2 linked regions of the Arabidopsis thaliana genome follow. The protein of the gene in region 2 interacts with the protein of the main gene of each other region in a pairwise test. Each region holds a gene or a part of one and is shown on either strand. Other genes may lie near its edges. The genes, in order: AT3G60670 and AT2G01370.

Region 1 (9,133 bases), on a different chromosome or scaffold from region 2:
CCCGGAGAAGAAGCACTAAGAAGAGGCTTATCGGGTTTAAGAACGACGACTTTCTGATCGGTGATAAAATCCTCGGAGGAATCGAGAAGAGAGAAACCCTCAGCATCGGTTCTCTCATTATCGTCTTCGGTGAAGAACTCGTAGGTCTTGGTCTTGACGGCCATGGCTAATTTCTGAAACATTTGAGAGAATTGTGGAGGAGCTGCTGTGATTGCCGTTGTTTCCACTTCCCGCATCGCTCAAAATACGCAATCTCGAGAAGAAGAAGAAGAAGAAGAAGAAAACAAAATCCAAATCGAATTGGGAAACGAAAAAGACTTGATTCTGATTGACCAACCTAAGAGTTAATAACAGTCAAAAAAACTTGAGAGAAGGTTTTTGCTTTGAAGGATTTTAATGGTGCTTTGCTTTGGATGCATTTGGAAGAAACGAATGCACACAAAAAAAAAACCTTTACCTTTTCGCTGTATTATTATTTTTTACATTTAGAGTTTTTTTTTTTCCGCTGACTTTTTTTTAGTTTGATGATGATTTGGTTAACGGTAACAAGTGATTAATACCATTTCGTTTAATAATGGTTAGTGACACGACTAAACCGGTTATGCAAATGGTGTAACAGAGACAACATATATTGGCAAAGTAATTATATCATTTCGTTAAGTGAAATTAACTTCTTCTAGTGCGTACACAATTAACGTTTTCACATTTCTTTTTGGGTTGAATTATTGTTTTGTAATTTGCTACTGATTGGACATATAAATTGGTTATAAAATTAAACAGGACCTTACGTCTACGTTACATATTTAACACTCGTATCTATAAATGTGAACGGCACGAAAATTAAGTGTGGCATCCACTTTCAAACATTTCTTTGATCATTTAGACTTGAATACTCTGATAACTAATAGACTAATACTAATAGTAGTAAGAAATATTTTAACCGTCCGGTTAGTCATTATTGTATGATTTGGATATAAGAAAATGAATTTAAGAGTTTTATTGATTTCTTTGTTGTATTAGAATGTGTAAAACTTTTATTAATTGACCCACTAAGACTAATCATGGCTTTGAAGACACCTTTACAAGGACATGTCTTTCGAAACTCATCTCCTAGATTCTTGCTTTATTTCTTCCCTTTTCTTCACGTCTTTGTGATGCTTTTAGCTAACATTTTTAGTGGTTAATTGTTTATAATTAATTATGTCCTATATTCCTTTTCGTGTAATCATAACGCAAATTAAGGGTTGTATCTTTTTCACATATACCACTAGAAAGAAACGATACTTGTGTTTTTTTTCATCTTTCATCTTTTCTATTTTTCTTGTTTAACAAATGTCTTTCGAAACTCATCTCTCAAATTCTTGCTTTAATTCTTTCTTTTTTCTTGACAATACTTTGTGATCCTTTTAACCACTAACAATATTCTAAATTATATCTCGAAGATCAAGATAATTGTACAAAATCTTTAAAAATATATCAAACAAGTTTGATTTTTTTATTTTTATTTTGTCATATTCAAGAGTTGCCGCATAAGCTAAATAGAGAGTCCATGTATTTGTGTGTTAGGTGAGTGGTATAGTCAAAGAAAGTACAAATGGGAGAACAACACATTTGAAAAAAAAAGATTTGATCGACAATCCTGAACAAGCCTCACGGTCGAAAACGCCATAAGACTATCAAAGGTATCTAAAAGATTTAATAGTATCAAGTAACTTTCAAAATTTGCGTTGTCAGCTTAATAAAGACCAGTATCAGTGGTTTGTGTTCAAAACCGATGAGAATAACCAGACTATGTTCGAACTGTTACCATTAAATTTATCAAATATTAATGTCTAGATGTTTTTTTGTACAAACTACTGACAATTTAAACTTCAATGATATTTATTATCACTTTTTTACTTCACCTAATCTATTTAGATATTGTATAATTGCTAAATCATATTTACAATCACCCTGAATTTATTACATTAGATTTACTTTAGTGAAATATTCATATATATAATAATATATTTAAGTTAATTTATATATAGAACAAATTTTAATGTACCTTTTCATTACATTTGATATTTTATGACCATTTGTATCATGAAGTCTCTTATATTATTGGTTAAAAAAAATAAAAAATTAGATTATAGTTTTTGATATAAATAAATAAATCTTAAAATATGTAAGTATCCTATATTTTTTAAGAGAGGAAGTAGTGAATTAGTGATGCACCTTACATTTACCGTGTTCGAGTATATGCTGAAAGTGAAAGGTTTTTAAGTTAATAATTTGTGTAACTTTTTGTAATCTGATCCCGCTAAAAAAAAAATAACATTTTACATTGATACATTTGTTTATTATATCATTCTGTCTAAATTCCACAATGACATATAGAAATAGTTATCTTTTTTATTACATTGTGGGACATAAAATCAAATACAAAGACAAAATTGAGGGTCGTATGTCACTTTCCCTTGATTTCATTTGACCGTTTGGTTACCAACGATTTCGGTTGTTAGATCAAAGTTTGTTCTTCAACGACGTCGGTTTTGACTAAATCAATAACACCAATCGTGCTGTTGTGATCAGGACCACCCCAGATGTTTTAAATTCGATTAAGGAGAAATGTGGATCAACCATAACAAACAATCGTAAGTAGCCCAAATAAAGGATAAAAGCCCCAGCCCATGTAGATATCGTAAATTGACTAAAATACCCCTGATGATCAATAGTAACTAAAAGGCTAACGAGAAAAGGGGACAGCTGGATCGAAATCGAATCGGATCAGATCAAAAGAAAGCAGTGGCGTCGCATTCTTTCTCTGCCTGAGGCTGCTGCTGCTGCTCCTCCGTACCAACTCTGATCCACCTCTCTGTCCCTCTCTCTCTCTCTCTTTCTATACATACACTCATATTCTTTTTTTTTCATTTTTAAAAATTTGTATGCAAAAATTGAGAGATTATTTTACTTATAATAATAAAATGAAAATAATAATAGGTGGTCTAGTGAGGTACGTAGGTAAGTTTAGTAGTATAAGCAATAACTAATAAATCCCATCAACTTTGCACTGGTTTTCGAGAACAGTCTACAGCTGTGACAATGGGTCTTAGGGTTCTTGGAATTTGCTCTCTATTTCTTCCTCTATTCAATGTATCAATCATATACTTCATTTAGCTATTACAATTATGTTTTCTTAATTATTAATGAAGCTTATTTTTATTTTTTTGTGTGGATGGTAATGTTTTTAATTATAAAACGGTGCTTAGCTTTAATTTGGGTATTTATTCTCACATTTTTACTGAACGAAATACACGTAGTAGTAAAAAGAGAAATTTGTTTTTAGTAGGTTATATTGGGTTTACGAAATCGCCACTTAGAAATGATCAAATGAAAAGTAGACTGTTGGGGAGAGTCTTGTCATTTAGCACTTTTTCACAGTGAACCAGACAGACCTTCTAAACAAAAACAACACATACAATTATATCATGAAGAGACGATACAGGAAAATCAAATTGGTTGTATAAAGAAATCTCGTTTTACTTTCTTTTTAAAAACCCAACTCATATTGTTATAAGAAAGAGAGTTTTTTTTTTCTGTCTAAAGAAAGAGAGATTAAAACTCTGAATTTGGCTTTAAAATTTTGATATTGACGACTGTCACATACCAGAGGACTGAATTTTTTTTAATACTATTTCTGAAGAAAATGCTTTCTTAAATTTAATTATTAATTATAATATAAAGTTCATATTCACACGGTATATAAAAAAAAGGTTTTTTCATATGACAGTAAATATAAAATTTATTATTATTGCCAAGCTGAATTCTAATAAATATACACTTCTGTTTGTCAAGTTGGAACTGTATCTGTCAATGAAAAGGTACTTAATAATGATAAATAACCCAAAATTGTTACTTTTCAACACTCATAATCGAATTCTGCTATCTAGTAGTAGTCATTACGTAGTAAGTTAGTAACGTATCTAAGTGAACCACTTCTCTAACTAATGGATAAAACTAAATGAGAGTAAATAATCAACAAAACAAATTAATTAACGAATACTAAAGATTACAACACATCATTAAGGAGAGAAAGAAGAGAAGACTCATTTGAATTTAAGCTAGTGGTCACTCTCTCCAGGCGCCGCTCTCTCTTTCCTTCTTTCTTTCTCTCTCTCTCTCTGAGAATGGTCAGTCAATTTCACCACTGAGAGAGCTCAAAATCGCCTGACCTTGACCTTACTCTCTCTATCTCTTCCCCGAGAAAACCACCTCCCAGTGTAGATAACCAGAAGAAGATAAGCCAAGGTGGGTCTTCTCAATTTTACCTTTTTAGTCCAAAAAACATGAAATTGAAACATGGGTCTTGATTCATGTATGGGTTTCGTCTTTAAAGTTTACTGTTTTTTTTTTGGTATTTTGCAGATGGAATCTGGAGAATTTCCTGCATGGCTTGAGGTTCTGTTAAAAGACAAGTTTTTCAACGCTTGTTTGGATCATGAAGATGATAAGAAGAACGAGAAGAACATATTATGTATCGATTGTTGTCTTACCATCTGTCCTCACTGTCTCTCTTCTCATACCTCTCATCGTCTTCTTCAGGTCTCTCTCTTAAAATAAACAAACTTTTTTTTAATGGTTTCAAAAATCTTCATATTTGTCGGAAGAAAAATATGAACTTGGTGTGTTTCTGGGAATCTTTACGCAGATAAGAAGATACGTGTATAGAGACGTTTTGAGGGTTGAAGATGGTTCTAAGCTAATGGATTGCTCTTTAATTCAGGTATAACTCGGTTCTGGTTGTATTTAATTATCATGATAAAACTCTTAATCCGTTTATTGTATACATTAAAAGTCCAATTTTCATTGGTTCTTGTGCCCTAAAATTTTGACAGCTTTAATTAATACTCGTTGTCTTTTTCTTTTTCTTTGTGTGTGTGTATGTGTTGATGATGATTAAAGCCATACACAACGAACAGTTCAAAAGTTGTGTTCATCAATGAACGGCCTCAGTCTCGACAATTTCGTGGTTCCGGTAACATTTGTATCACCTGTGACCGGAGTCTCCAGTCTCCTTACCTCTTCTGCTGTCTCTCCTGCAAGGTCTGCTTTTTCTTGTTCTAATTACTTAAAAGGAACATCTTTTCTTCGTTAATTAAGTTTTCATTTAAAATTCTATCACATACCCAGTCCGATTTACCACTTTTCTTCATCTGGGTCGATCTTCTTTTTTAGAAATTTCATTTTTTGATGCACGAGTACACGAAATTGTCGTCAGATAAAAAAGGAACGTTTTTATTTGTTGTCTCATTTATTTTTCAAATTCTTTCAAAATACACAATTCAATTTCTTTCTGTTTTTGTTGTTTTTCTGCTTTTTAATATAAACACGCGTGTACGATCATATTTACACGTAATTGTCGCTGAAAACACAAACACATGGTTTGTTTGTTTTATGTAGATTAGTGACGTCATAATGAGACAAAGAGGACTCTCAGGGTTTCTCCGCGTCTGCAACGTTCTTGATTTAACCGACGAAGTCACGACAACGACACCGAGTTCCACTCTCGAGCCCACCGGGTCGAACCGAACATCTTCCGAGTCAAGTGGTAACGAAGGAGAAGACATGTTCTGGTGTCAGGCGCTCGCTTGCACCGCCACTACTGAAATCGTTAGGAAGAAAAGAAGCAGCTTGTCGACGACTTGCAGGAGAGTCACGGAGGTGGTTTCAACGACTAACACGGAAGCTCCGGTGAACTTTTTAAACCGTCGGAAGAATCCGCCGCAACGCGCCCCGCTTTATTAACTCGTGACGTTTGGCGAAATTTGGTTGGTCCAAGTGGTAAGTAGAATGAATACACGTAACTACTATAGTCTTATTTTATATTGTTAATCAATATCTCTAAATAACGAATCGAATTTTAGGTTTTTTTAAGAAATGGAATTAAGAATAGTTGAAAAGATCTCTCCTGGTTTTGTCTGACTCTGATATCTGTACCGCGTAATGAGAGAACTCTATGTTATTTAATTTAAATACTTTTCGTATAATGAAACATGTTTTCGTATAATCCGTTTTATTGCTTCCCATTTTTTATAATTTTTTAAAAATACCTCTTCCTCCACGAATAGCAATTTCAGTACTATTGAGACGGCTTGATTTAACATTTACAGCGGCGAAGTAAATTCTTAAAGGATTAATATTTGTTGTCATTAAATGCATTAGACCGACCATATCTTTCTTGGCTGAGTTAAATGATACGTTTTGAAAATAAAAGAAGTAAAATGGTAGTGATGGAGAACTCTATAAGTCTAAATGTGGTCTGCAGAAAATTTATGAATGTTTCTTTCTTGTATGTATATAAAATTTAGGTCACAACTCACAAAATAGTAAACATGTTAATTAATTATTTGATATCAGTTGGTTGGTAATAAATGTGAATTTTCTTTAAAAAATGCATGCGATAAGACTGTATAGTGTGTGTTTTTGTCTTTATGCATAACGTATTTTGTGGGTTTTGCACGAACGAAAGACGACTAAAATTGGTTATTGGTTATACGAAAAAAGAAGACAAAGAGATTGGAACAGACATTATGGATAAACGTGAAATTGTGAATGTTTCTGAGGCAAATAGTCTTTTTTTTTTCTCTCCTGTTTCCCTGGACCACTTTCTTCTTCCCATTTCGTAGTGCCTCTTGATTTTTATTTCAGGACATATGAACAACAATAATGCAAGGATCGTCGTTTTCGCTTGGTTATTAGATTTGTTTTCTTCTTCTGTTCGGAAAATAATGTTGCCAAATTTACTTGTCCGTATCAAGATAAATGTATGGCAGCTACAATTTACTATCTATTGATTTTACGAATAGACAGTGACACAGATAAGATCCTTAAAGGTATTGGAGTATTAAGAAAACTATGTGGAGGTAAAAAGTCACTAAATAAAAACGGAAACCGAGTTTTGCTACTTTGTAGGTTTGAATGGGACAGGCCATTTGTGCACTGGAACTTGAACCAGATTGCTTAGAGAAATTGCTTTTTTAATATTATGAAAATAACGGAAATCGAGTTTTTCTACTTTTATGCAAATGTGAAAATTGCATTAAACATTTTTGTCCATATTATAAATTCAAATCCTGGGCCTAGCTGGGCCTGTCAGGCGGGCCGGTCTTAAGGATTAAGATTAAGGCTTAATGATGTTTAAGGGACCAGTAGACCTTCTATGATTCTATGGTACAAGGAGCTCAGAAGAAGCAAGAAACTATTGAAAAATGACGGAATTACCCCTTACGCTTGTGAAAATGAACAACTTACTTGAGGCAAGTTGGTTGGTTTCTAGTGAGGCTTCATAAGAATGATGACGCGGTTTTGTCCAATGCGAGTCTCACTAATACGACCAAGGTGGCGAAGAACCTGTTAATAGACACATCAAAATTTGACAATAAGCATGTGTTATCGATGTTAGTCTAACTCTGGTGAAGAGTTTAAGGAAGCATGAAAATGTTGTTTCTTTTTTGTTGAAATTTTGAAATGAAGGGAAGATATATTAGTTACTTACAGTAAGTATTGCTTTTCCTGTGTTGTCTAGTTTCAAACTTGGTCCCTTCATGTCAGTTTCAAGAAAGAAATGTTTGCCCTTCACTGCTTGCTCTGTTACGATATCTCGTAGTTTCTGCATATAAGAGTTTCAAGACAATCAAAGATTATAACAATGTTTTCACTAGTGAACGGATACTATCATCTAGACAGTGTGGTTGATGAGTTATATTAGCTTACAAGTGCTTTCTCCCAGAGATTTTCCGCTAGCTTTGGCAATATAAGACAAAAGCGTCAGTACAATTGTAGCCTATATAACTCAATTCCTTCAGCTGGTAAATATACCTTCTGTTTTGAGGCTGCAATAAGATGAGCATTTGCTTCAGCATATGAGGCCATGTCATTGATAGCAGCATTCACTTTCTCAAGGGTGAGCCTTCCTCTCATGTATCTTGTTTTTTGGAAAAATGTCAGAAAAGCGGTATGCATTTCACATAAACAAGGAGAAGAGAAAGTAAAATGTACTTACGATGAGAGTGAATTGAGTTCCTCAACAGTTATGTACCAAAGGGGAGGAGACCCGCGACCCTTCTTCTCCTGGAAACAAAACCAAAGATCAACCATAGACAGAGATAACAGAAATACACAATAGCAACAGTTTATCATTCATCGCCATTGAGTCTTAGAGGCCATAAAGTCTCTTTGAAGAAAACAAAGTATATGCAAGTTCTACCTTGGGTAAAACAGCTGCTTCCTCATCAAATTTCAAAGAGCTGAGAGTAGAATGTTGCTCGTACTGCTTGGCATTCTCTTGGAGCAGACTGGAATGAGAAACCACTAATCTTAATCAAACTTCTGGAGTAGTAATAAAAATCAAAGGCTATACCTAGAAATTGAAAAAAGAAGATGCAAGTAAATGTAAATACCATCTATTTAAATCTGAATTCAACATAGTAGCCTTGTCAGGAAAATGGGAAGGTGCATAAATAGACATCTTCTGCAACTTCCCTTGTTGTTTCAGTGATGCCTCTATAAGTTTCTACAGTCAACACACAAAACTCTCAAAGTCAAAAACCCAGGTCCAGATTCTAAACCCTAAATTACTCAAATTCAAATCATCTTACAGTGTAACGACGTTTCTAGAATCTGAATTTCAGAAATCTCGGAAGTAAATAAAACGTACCTTAGCTTTTGGAATAGCTTCGGTTTCTTCACGTAATCGGTCCTTGATCGATTGTACCTGAAGCTCCATTGAGCTCAACGCTGTGTCAATCGCCGATAAATCCGGGATGGTACTTGCAGGATACACTGCAGGAAATTGAAATTAGGTCATCAAATGAAGATATTGAATAACGAATTGAGTATTGAGTGTTTAGAACTAGGACTCACTGTTTCTGGCGATGACGAGTTCCTGCAATTCGCCGATTCGTTTATTGAAAGAAGCAATCAACGAATCTAGAGAAGATCCAGCTTGATTTCCCTCCATTCTTCACTAACCTCTCTCAATCTCCCAATCAAAGACTATCTGCTTCGCTTAGGTTTAAGAAGTTGGAAACTGCAGAAACTTTTTCCGGCGGGAAAGTTTTATTAGCCAGATCGCAGCTTCTTTGTTCTCTGT
Region 2 (8,142 bases):
AGCTCAATCTAAACTTAAAAGGCTACGAATTCATTGACACACATAGCACAACATATTTCTCCACGAAAAGAAAACTAACTATATGGATCTTCGAAAGCTGTTGTACTTGTACGAACCTGAGGAGATCCTATACTTGTGGCTAAAATCACCCGGCGCCGTGAAATTTTAGGTGATTCTCCGGTCACTGGTGAAAGTGAGATCAAAACAGGTGTCCAGATAGAGCACGATCTCGCCATCTCTCTTCTCCGGCGTCAGTAGCAACCGCTAATCTATCAGAAATGTCAATAAAATGAAGAAATTAAATTAAATATAATAATAAAAAATGATGAGTAATGGGCTTAAAAACAGTATAGGCCTCATATTTAATGGGCCTAGATTAAACATGTACATGTTGACTTTCACCTGCAACCAGATTACAACAGATTTGTAGCAAAGAGAAGATCACATATTTTGTCTTCAACATGAACATTTTCTCGGAAACGTGCAGAAGCAACAAGACTCTTCTTCTCCTTCCTCAACAACGCCACTTCCTTCTGGAAATCACTAGTTTTCTCAAGGCCAGACAATAGAACATCGTATGTCCCCAAAGAAGGCATTATCTCTCGCTCTCTCATCTCTCGTAATATCTTCATTGCTTTCTCTGGACTCCCTGCTGAGATATAAACATCCATCAGCGCAGTGTAAGCAGCTACACCCTTTTGATCATCCGGAAGTAAGTCGAAAACGTCTGCGGCTAAACGAGGTCTTCTCCCAAACCCGAGCCTGTGGATCAACATAGCTCCTTGGTAACAACCAAGCGAGTGTTGGGCTTTCACCATCTCCTTGACCACTTCAATCACTTTAGGAAGCTCGTTTGATCTCAGAAAGTTACCAATTAACGCGAGATACGCTGACTTCTTGAGATGAATTCCCATTTCCAAGCTGTAATCAAAAGCCAACGAAGCCCCCTCTGTTCTACAACGGTCACAGTTTGTTTCTATGATTGCTGAAACAACAAAAGAATCCAGCTTTATGTTCCTATCTCTCATCTGGTTAAGTAAAATGTCAACTGCAACCAGATTCTGCTTCATCAAGAGAACGGAGCTGATAACTCTACTATCATCTGAATTCTTAGTGTCATTAACTTCCGCTGTTGGAGTCTCATCAATGTCACTGGAGCACAACGATTCAACGGAAATATGCGAGTTGACTTCCCTTAACAGATCATCACTTTCGCCTGCAGCTTTCAGTGTCTCTAAAGCTTCAACAAAGATAGGATAGCGTAGGACAACTCCATTTTCTTTCATGTACACAAGAACTCGAGTCATGAAAGATGTTTCCCCAAATTTCAAGGCTTTCGCTATCAGAATATTGCAAGCTGCTTTATCTGGCTGCACACCAATTTCTTGCATTTTAAAGAATATGTCCAAGGCTTCCTCACATTTTCCTGCAAAATCAAACGAAGAAACTAACACATCATCATCAACAAGGCTACAAAACATTCAGATACCAGAATCATCTACATAAAGCAAAAGTTTTGGATTTTCAGCTAAGCATTTTAACAAACACTTAGTGTGCAAGAGAATGAAGTTGACCTGTGGCGACAAGATACTCCATCAATACAGTATAAGTGTGACAATTCGGAGAAACCCGCGACCGTAACATCTCCTTATACACCTCCGTGGCTTCTTCCACCCTCCCATCAGCGAAAAGCATCTTCATGTAAGCAGTGTACGACACAACGGTAGGTTCGCACCCATTATCTCTCATCTCCTCCCACAACCTCATTGCTCCATCCACATCACCGGAGCTTGAAACCCAGTGAATCAGCGATGTATAAGTCACCGTATCGATCAACACACCCTTCTCCTTCATAAGGTGAAAAACAGAGTACATGGATTGAATCCGACCGGCTTCTCCGAAGATATCGAGCATGGTGGTATAAGTGAAGTGGTCGTGTTTGAAACCCTTGATTTGAGCAGCCCAGTTGAAAAAGAGCCAAGCTTTCTGCATCGGAGGATGTGCTTTCAAGACACGGTTGATAATGTGAGAATCCCATCTGACGCCGAGATGTGGAAGCTGTTCTTGAGCAGAGTCCCAATTGGAGTACTTGAGGATGTTATAGATGTTGGATACAATGTCTCTTGTGTAAACACTGGGATCTGGTAGGGTCTGTGTTTTCACAAGTTTGGGTTTTTGGGAGAATCGCTTGGAGTTGGTGGGTTTTAGACGAGGAAGAGAGTGAAGTAGCTTGACGGAGCTCCGGCGATTGGAGAATTGGATTGGGGTATTGCGGAAGATGCTAGAGAAGCGCATGAAGCTTTGCCCAGAGAGATAACCAATTCTAAACTCCAACCTTGCAGTGTATTAGAAAGCTTTGTTTGAATAAGACGCCGTTTTTTATTCAAGTAAAATTTCAAAAATCTAGATTCAAAGAAAAAAATTCAAAAATCTAAGCAAATCTTTAACCACAATTATAAAGTTAGGGTTTATAATTTGACTTAGGACCTGGGCGTTCGGGTATTCGCTTCGGTTTTAGTTGGATTCCGATTCCTTCGGTTTTTGAGTGTAGAATCCATATATGAACCGAAACAGTTTCAGTTTGGTACGGGTTTGGTTCTAGTTCTTTCGGTTATGAAGTTTGGGATCTATTCGGATATTTTATTTCAGATATTTCGGATATTTTCGAGTATTTTTTTGGATATTGTGGTGTTATATATATATTTTCAAGTATATTTTGGTATTTTAGGTATTTTTGATTATTCAATCTAAAAATAACTAATATTTTTGGATAATATAATCATATTTCGGATATCTAAAATATTTTTGGGTTCGGTTCCTATTATTTTGGTTCTAGAATTTAGGATCTATTTAAGTATTTTACCATTTCGGTTCGGATTCGGGTTCGGTTCTTTTTGCTTCGGTTCCGGTTCGGTTCTTTCGGTTCAGTTATTATGCCCACGCCTAATTTGACTTGTGTTTTACTCGCTTATCTGTCCACTTTTATCTTCTTGTGAAATTTTCAAGTTACAAAAACAAATACTTGGCACCAAAATTGTGTGAATTAGTTAGTTAATGATCAAATGGTTAAATAACACAAAGAGTTGTATAATTTATGTCCAAAAGGTATTACAATTTCGACTCTTTCGAGTTTGGAGGAGTCGAATCGTGGATACATATATGTATGAGAAGAGAGACAATAAATAAAAGAATGTGGTTGATCAAGCTTCAAGGGCAAGTAACATAAGTGTGGGAAGAATAAACTTGTGAATGAGAAAGAGGGTTTAGTTTGTTGTGACATGGAGAAGGCTGTGAAGGAGGAACTGGACCTCGTTGGAGCTTATTCTGCAAAGCAAACCTTCTACCTATATCTTCCTTCTTCATTCTCAGCCTTGACGTTGCCGATGTTCCTCTTGATCCCACCAAAGCTATAAAACACAACATCACTATAATGAATTTCCACATGATCCTCATGATAACTCGGCCTTGTAACGCGGGGATGAATGGTCTAGTGGTTGATTAGTATGAGGAAACGTTGAGTTAGCTAATAATGAATCTTTTGAGGGAATTAAGAAGGATGAGAGATAAAAGTTTTGATGGAGGAAATATATAAAGATACATGGAGAGGGAGAGAGACAATGGTTTTATTTGAATGTTGTTGTGAAATATTCAAAGTAAACGAAAGAGCGAGGCAGCTTCTTGTAATTGTTTGACTTAGAACTCTTTACTTGTTACGTACATGTTTCATGTTTGAGTGTTACGTTTTATGTTGAATTTTGTTAGTGCCTTCATTTTAGTTTTAGCAGCCTATTTAGAACAATTTCTTTATTTTATTAAAATTTTGCACACATTTATTTACATGTTTACCTACCTTACACTAGTATATGTCATACACTAATAAATTTTGCACACATTTATTGAAATTTCTGATCGAGAATTTGGAGGGGGAAACAAATGATATTCCACGGAGATATGGGAACATGTTATTCACAAAAGCAACGATCGCTGCAAACCCAAAGTCCTTTTTTTTAAATCGTCTTAAAAAGTGTCTTTATTATTCTGATTACTGAGTATGAATAAGCCTTAGGCTCTATTTTTAGGATGGTGGTGGTCCTATGAAGTAACCTAAGTGTCACGGTATTTGAGGGAGATTGTGAGGGACTTTTACATGGACAATGATTATAGAAAACTATGGGATAAGACTGTCAGTTGCAGGTTGATAGTAATAGCGGAATTGAGATTAAAAAGTTTCCCTTGTTGACGTCAAGAGAGTACGTACTAGCTTGGAGATTGTGGCAAGGAAAGGACAAGAAGTTGTACTGTTTCACAAAGGTACTTATCATTTTGCTCTTTGGCGTTATTATTAGGAATATGGTAGCACAACAGAGGAAGTATGTACGTGTAAGTTATTTTAGAACTGGTTGGCGAATCAAGCAAGGCAAGTGGATTCACCTAAAAGTTGTTCTAGTCAGTGTTGTTTGAATACCATATTTTGCTTGTCGCCTACACGTTTGTAAGATGGAAAACGCTCTTTGTAAATACATAGCCACCAGTCATAGAACCCAAGGACCCATTTTCTCTGCTGTTACCTTAATGAAAAAGGTGAGATTCATATATATGGAAAAATCTCTTCTGTAAAATGGTACTTAGTGTCCTGAAACTGAATATGCATAAAGCAACCGGTTGGGTTGGGTCTTCACTGACATGATTGTTGTAGGTTCCATCAGAGTTAGAAACTCACAAAGATAATGTCACAGCCTCCATTCAAACTAGTTCGTGAAGGAGTGTTGAGTTGTAGCCAAACAGAAGAAAAAATTGATATTGGGACAAATGATCGATCATTAGTGACATTAGATACAAAACTTGACAGCCCTTCTTTTTGGAAGTTGTAGCCACAATTACTTAACCCTAATGCTTTTTTTTTTTTTTGTCAAACACTTAACCCTAATGCTAAGCGGCTATATAAATAGAAGATCTTTATTCTGATATTATCTCTACAACTTTTTTATCTTGAAAAAAAAAATGAAAGGAATAACAAAAAAACTTTTGGTCTCCCGCTCTCTCAAACGTCTGACGGCCAAGAAAAACCGGAGGAAGATTCATCGAGAGACGAACAAGCGTCTCAAACCGGAGGAAGATCCATCGATGGTGAAGAGGCGTCAAGACTCTGATTCAGATTCGCTGGAGAAGGAGGTTTCAGTTGTTGTAACCAAGACGAGTGATGATGAGATGGTGTCAACAGATACCAAAAAGAATTATTTTCAAAGAATATGGAGTGATGATGATGAGATTGTTTTGCTGCAAGGCATGGTTGATTTTGAGAATGATAAAGGGAAGAGTCCTTATGATGATATGACTGGTTTTATTGATACGGTGAAGAACTTCATTAGCTTTCAAGCGAATCAACATCAATTCACAACCAAAATCCGTCGCTTGAAGGACAAGTTCCTCAAGAAATGGAACAATGGTGTAGATGAGAACTCTCTTGTAAATGCTCACGACCGGAAATGTTTTCAACTTTCCAAAGTAATTTGGGAACCTACAACTAAGGTGGAGGAGGTAGGAGATTGGTTTGTAAATTCTTATCTTGTAGGATCAATTGCGAGGTTAGGGGTGAGTGAAGACGTAATGAAACAGAGTTGGAGCATGGTTCCGATAGAGACGAAGAAGGAGGTCGAAGAGAAGTTCAAGCTGTTGAAAGATGAAGAATCTGAAAACCTACGGCTAAAGACAAGTTTTTTGCAAAAGGTCAACTCTATGATCATTGAAGCAACAAATTAGACAAGTATCGAATTAGAGGTTTAATGCATCTTTTTCATTTCCATCCCATATGAGTCTGTTTTTTCTATTTGGTTTGTTATTGGTTTTTGATACTTGGATTGTGTTGTTAAAAACACTATGGAAGAACGGCAGATTAAATTTTAATGCATCCAATTGTGGTCAAGGTTTATGGTCTAAATTTTGGTCAGAATACTCTTGTTAGATACCTCTCACTTTGCTTAGGGTCAACAAGCATCAATGTTTCTGAGATCACAGATTTTGTAATCAAACAGAAGCAACAGATTTTGTCTATCTTGCAAGCAAACAGAAGATCACATGCATATTTTGTCTTCAACATGAACAATTTCCCGGAAACGTGTAGAAGCAACAAGACTCTTCTGCTCCTTCCTCAATGACGATGTTTCTCTCTGGAAATCACTGGTTTTCTCAAGACCAGACAATAGAACATCGTATGTCCCAAGCGAAGGCATTATCTCTCGCTCTCTCATCTCTCCTAATATCTTCATTGCTTTCTCTGGACTCCCTGCTGAGATATAAACATCCATCAGCGCAGTGTAAGCAGATAGACCCTTTTGATCATCCGGAAGTAAGTCTAAAGCCTCTGCAGCTAAGCTAGGTCTTCTCCCAAACCCGAGCATGTGGATCAGCATTGCTCCATGGTACACACCAAGCGAGTGTTGGGATTTCACCATCTCCTTGACCACATCAATCACTTTAGAGAGCTCGTTTGATCTCAGAAAGTTACCAGCTAACGCAAGATACGCTGACTTCTCAAGATGAATTCCCATTTCCAAGCTCCAATCAAGAGCCAACGAAGCCAAGTAAATAACCAAGATACTGTGCCAACTATTAGTAGTCATTAAGAGACAAAATCAGTACTAGATACTGTGCCAACTATTGTCAAACCCAAAAGTGTTTGGACGGTTTCCTATTATATCTCTATGCTTTTACTAAGACAACCTAGCAAATATTCTGAAAGTGTAACTGCACGACTGATAGTTGCATCAATAGTGTGACAAGAAGCCATAAATGTTTGATCAGAGGTGTACCATACGGGTACCTGCATAGTTGGAGTAAACAATTGAAAGATGAATTTAGCCAAGCAGGAATAACAAACAGTTTAAAATTTTGTAATCGATCCAGGGAGTGTATTTACTCAAAGAACAGATCAAGGACTCTTCTAATAGCTCCTGAGCTAGCTAGTTCTTTTCCTATTGCTTCACTTCGAGTTTTCAGTAAGACATGAATGAACTCCACAATCTAAGACAAGCCATCAGCAACACAAACGAAATCAGAAATATATTACACAACAGAAAACACACACAAGACACAAGAGTATATGTTTTGAGTTAGAACTCCGTACTTGTTACATGTTTGAGTGTTATGTTTTATGTTGAATTTAACTAAAATGCAGACGTTAGTATGGAATGGGCTTCACAAATAAAAGCCCAATAGTATGTTTTTTTGGTAGGGAGCCCAATAGTATGTTGGTTCACCCAAATATCATTTCTTTCTCTGAGAGCTGTTTATTATATTCACACAAAGAAGACCAACAAGAAACAGAGTTGAATCAGTTCTACAATGATCTCTGTCTCTCGATTCTTGTCGCCTCAATTCTACGCAATTCCAAGGTTTTATCCGACAAAACCCAATCTTTTAAGTCTCTCCTTTGTTCATTTCTGTAATCGTGGCGACCAAACTCAATCTCAATTGTTTCAGGAGCTTCGTAAAAATGTCTGCTTCAGCGACTCAAACGGCCGGAGAAGTTTCAATGGGGATCAAGCCTCCTTCACACCCTACTTACGATTTGAAAGCTGTTATCAAACTAGCCCTAGCTGAAGATGCTGGTCATACAGGTTCTCTCTTCACCTTCTAAAGTTTCGATTTTTAATTTGTGAAATTGAGTTGGTCAAAAATATATGATTTGAGTGAAGGAGATGTAACGTGTATGGCTACGATACCGTTTGATATGGAAGTGGAAGCTTATTTCTTGGCCAAGGAAGATGGTATTGTTGCTGGAGTTGCTCTTGCTGACATGATTTTTGAACATGTTGATCCCTCCTTGAAGGTGTTTCCATCATCTTACTTGAAGTCTTTTGATTTGTTTTGTATGTGTCTTTTAGCTTGAAGTGATTTAGTTTCTAATATCTCAGGTTGAATGGATGCGAAAGGATGGAGATTATGTTCATAAAGGATTGAAGTTTGGGAAAGTATCAGGGAATGCACATAAGATTGTTGTTGCTGAAAGAGTTTTGCTCAACTTTATGCAGAGGATGAGTGGAATTGCAACCCTTACCAAGGTCTTTTTTTTGTGTCTCTATAGATTCTCTCTAGTGATTGGTGTGGTTGCATTCATATTAACTTAGTGAGCTTATATCTTAT

Evidence for each region.
Region 1: the proteins of AT2G01370 (region 2) and AT3G60670 interact in a two-hybrid assay, tested with the Arabidopsis thaliana proteins (one large-scale study listed by BioGRID).

Annotation. Positions count from the first base shown.
Region 1 is NC_003074.8:22,421,349-22,430,481, reverse strand, and holds AT3G60670 (PLATZ transcription factor family protein), read left to right. Parts: upstream 1-4,112; 5' UTR 4,113-4,290; intron 4,291-4,407; coding exon 4,408-4,584; intron 4,585-4,690; coding exon 4,691-4,765; intron 4,766-4,944; coding exon 4,945-5,085; intron 5,086-5,442; coding exon 5,443-5,787; 3' UTR 5,788-6,046; downstream 6,047-9,133. Other genes in the region: AT3G60680 (DUF641 family protein (DUF641)), read right to left, coding at 1-236; AT3G60660 (spindle/kinetochore-associated-like protein), read right to left, coding at 7,315-7,392, 7,538-7,651, 7,756-7,785, 7,861-7,966, 8,045-8,112, 8,249-8,336, 8,442-8,554, 8,699-8,823 and 1 more.
Region 2 is NC_003071.7:166,409-174,550, reverse strand, and holds AT2G01370 (DNA-binding storekeeper protein-related transcriptional regulator), read left to right. Parts: upstream 1-4,908; 5' UTR 4,909-5,001; coding exon 5,002-5,760; 3' UTR 5,761-5,920; downstream 5,921-8,142. Other genes in the region: AT2G01400 (uncharacterized protein), read right to left, coding at 117-236; EMB3111 (Tetratricopeptide repeat (TPR)-like superfamily protein), read right to left, coding at 414-1,426, 1,575-2,295; AT2G01379 (uncharacterized protein), read right to left, coding at 3,208-3,453; AT2G01360 (pentatricopeptide (PPR) repeat protein), read right to left, coding at 6,072-6,620; QPT (quinolinate phoshoribosyltransferase), read left to right, coding at 7,342-7,391, 7,480-7,616, 7,695-7,828, 7,914-8,060.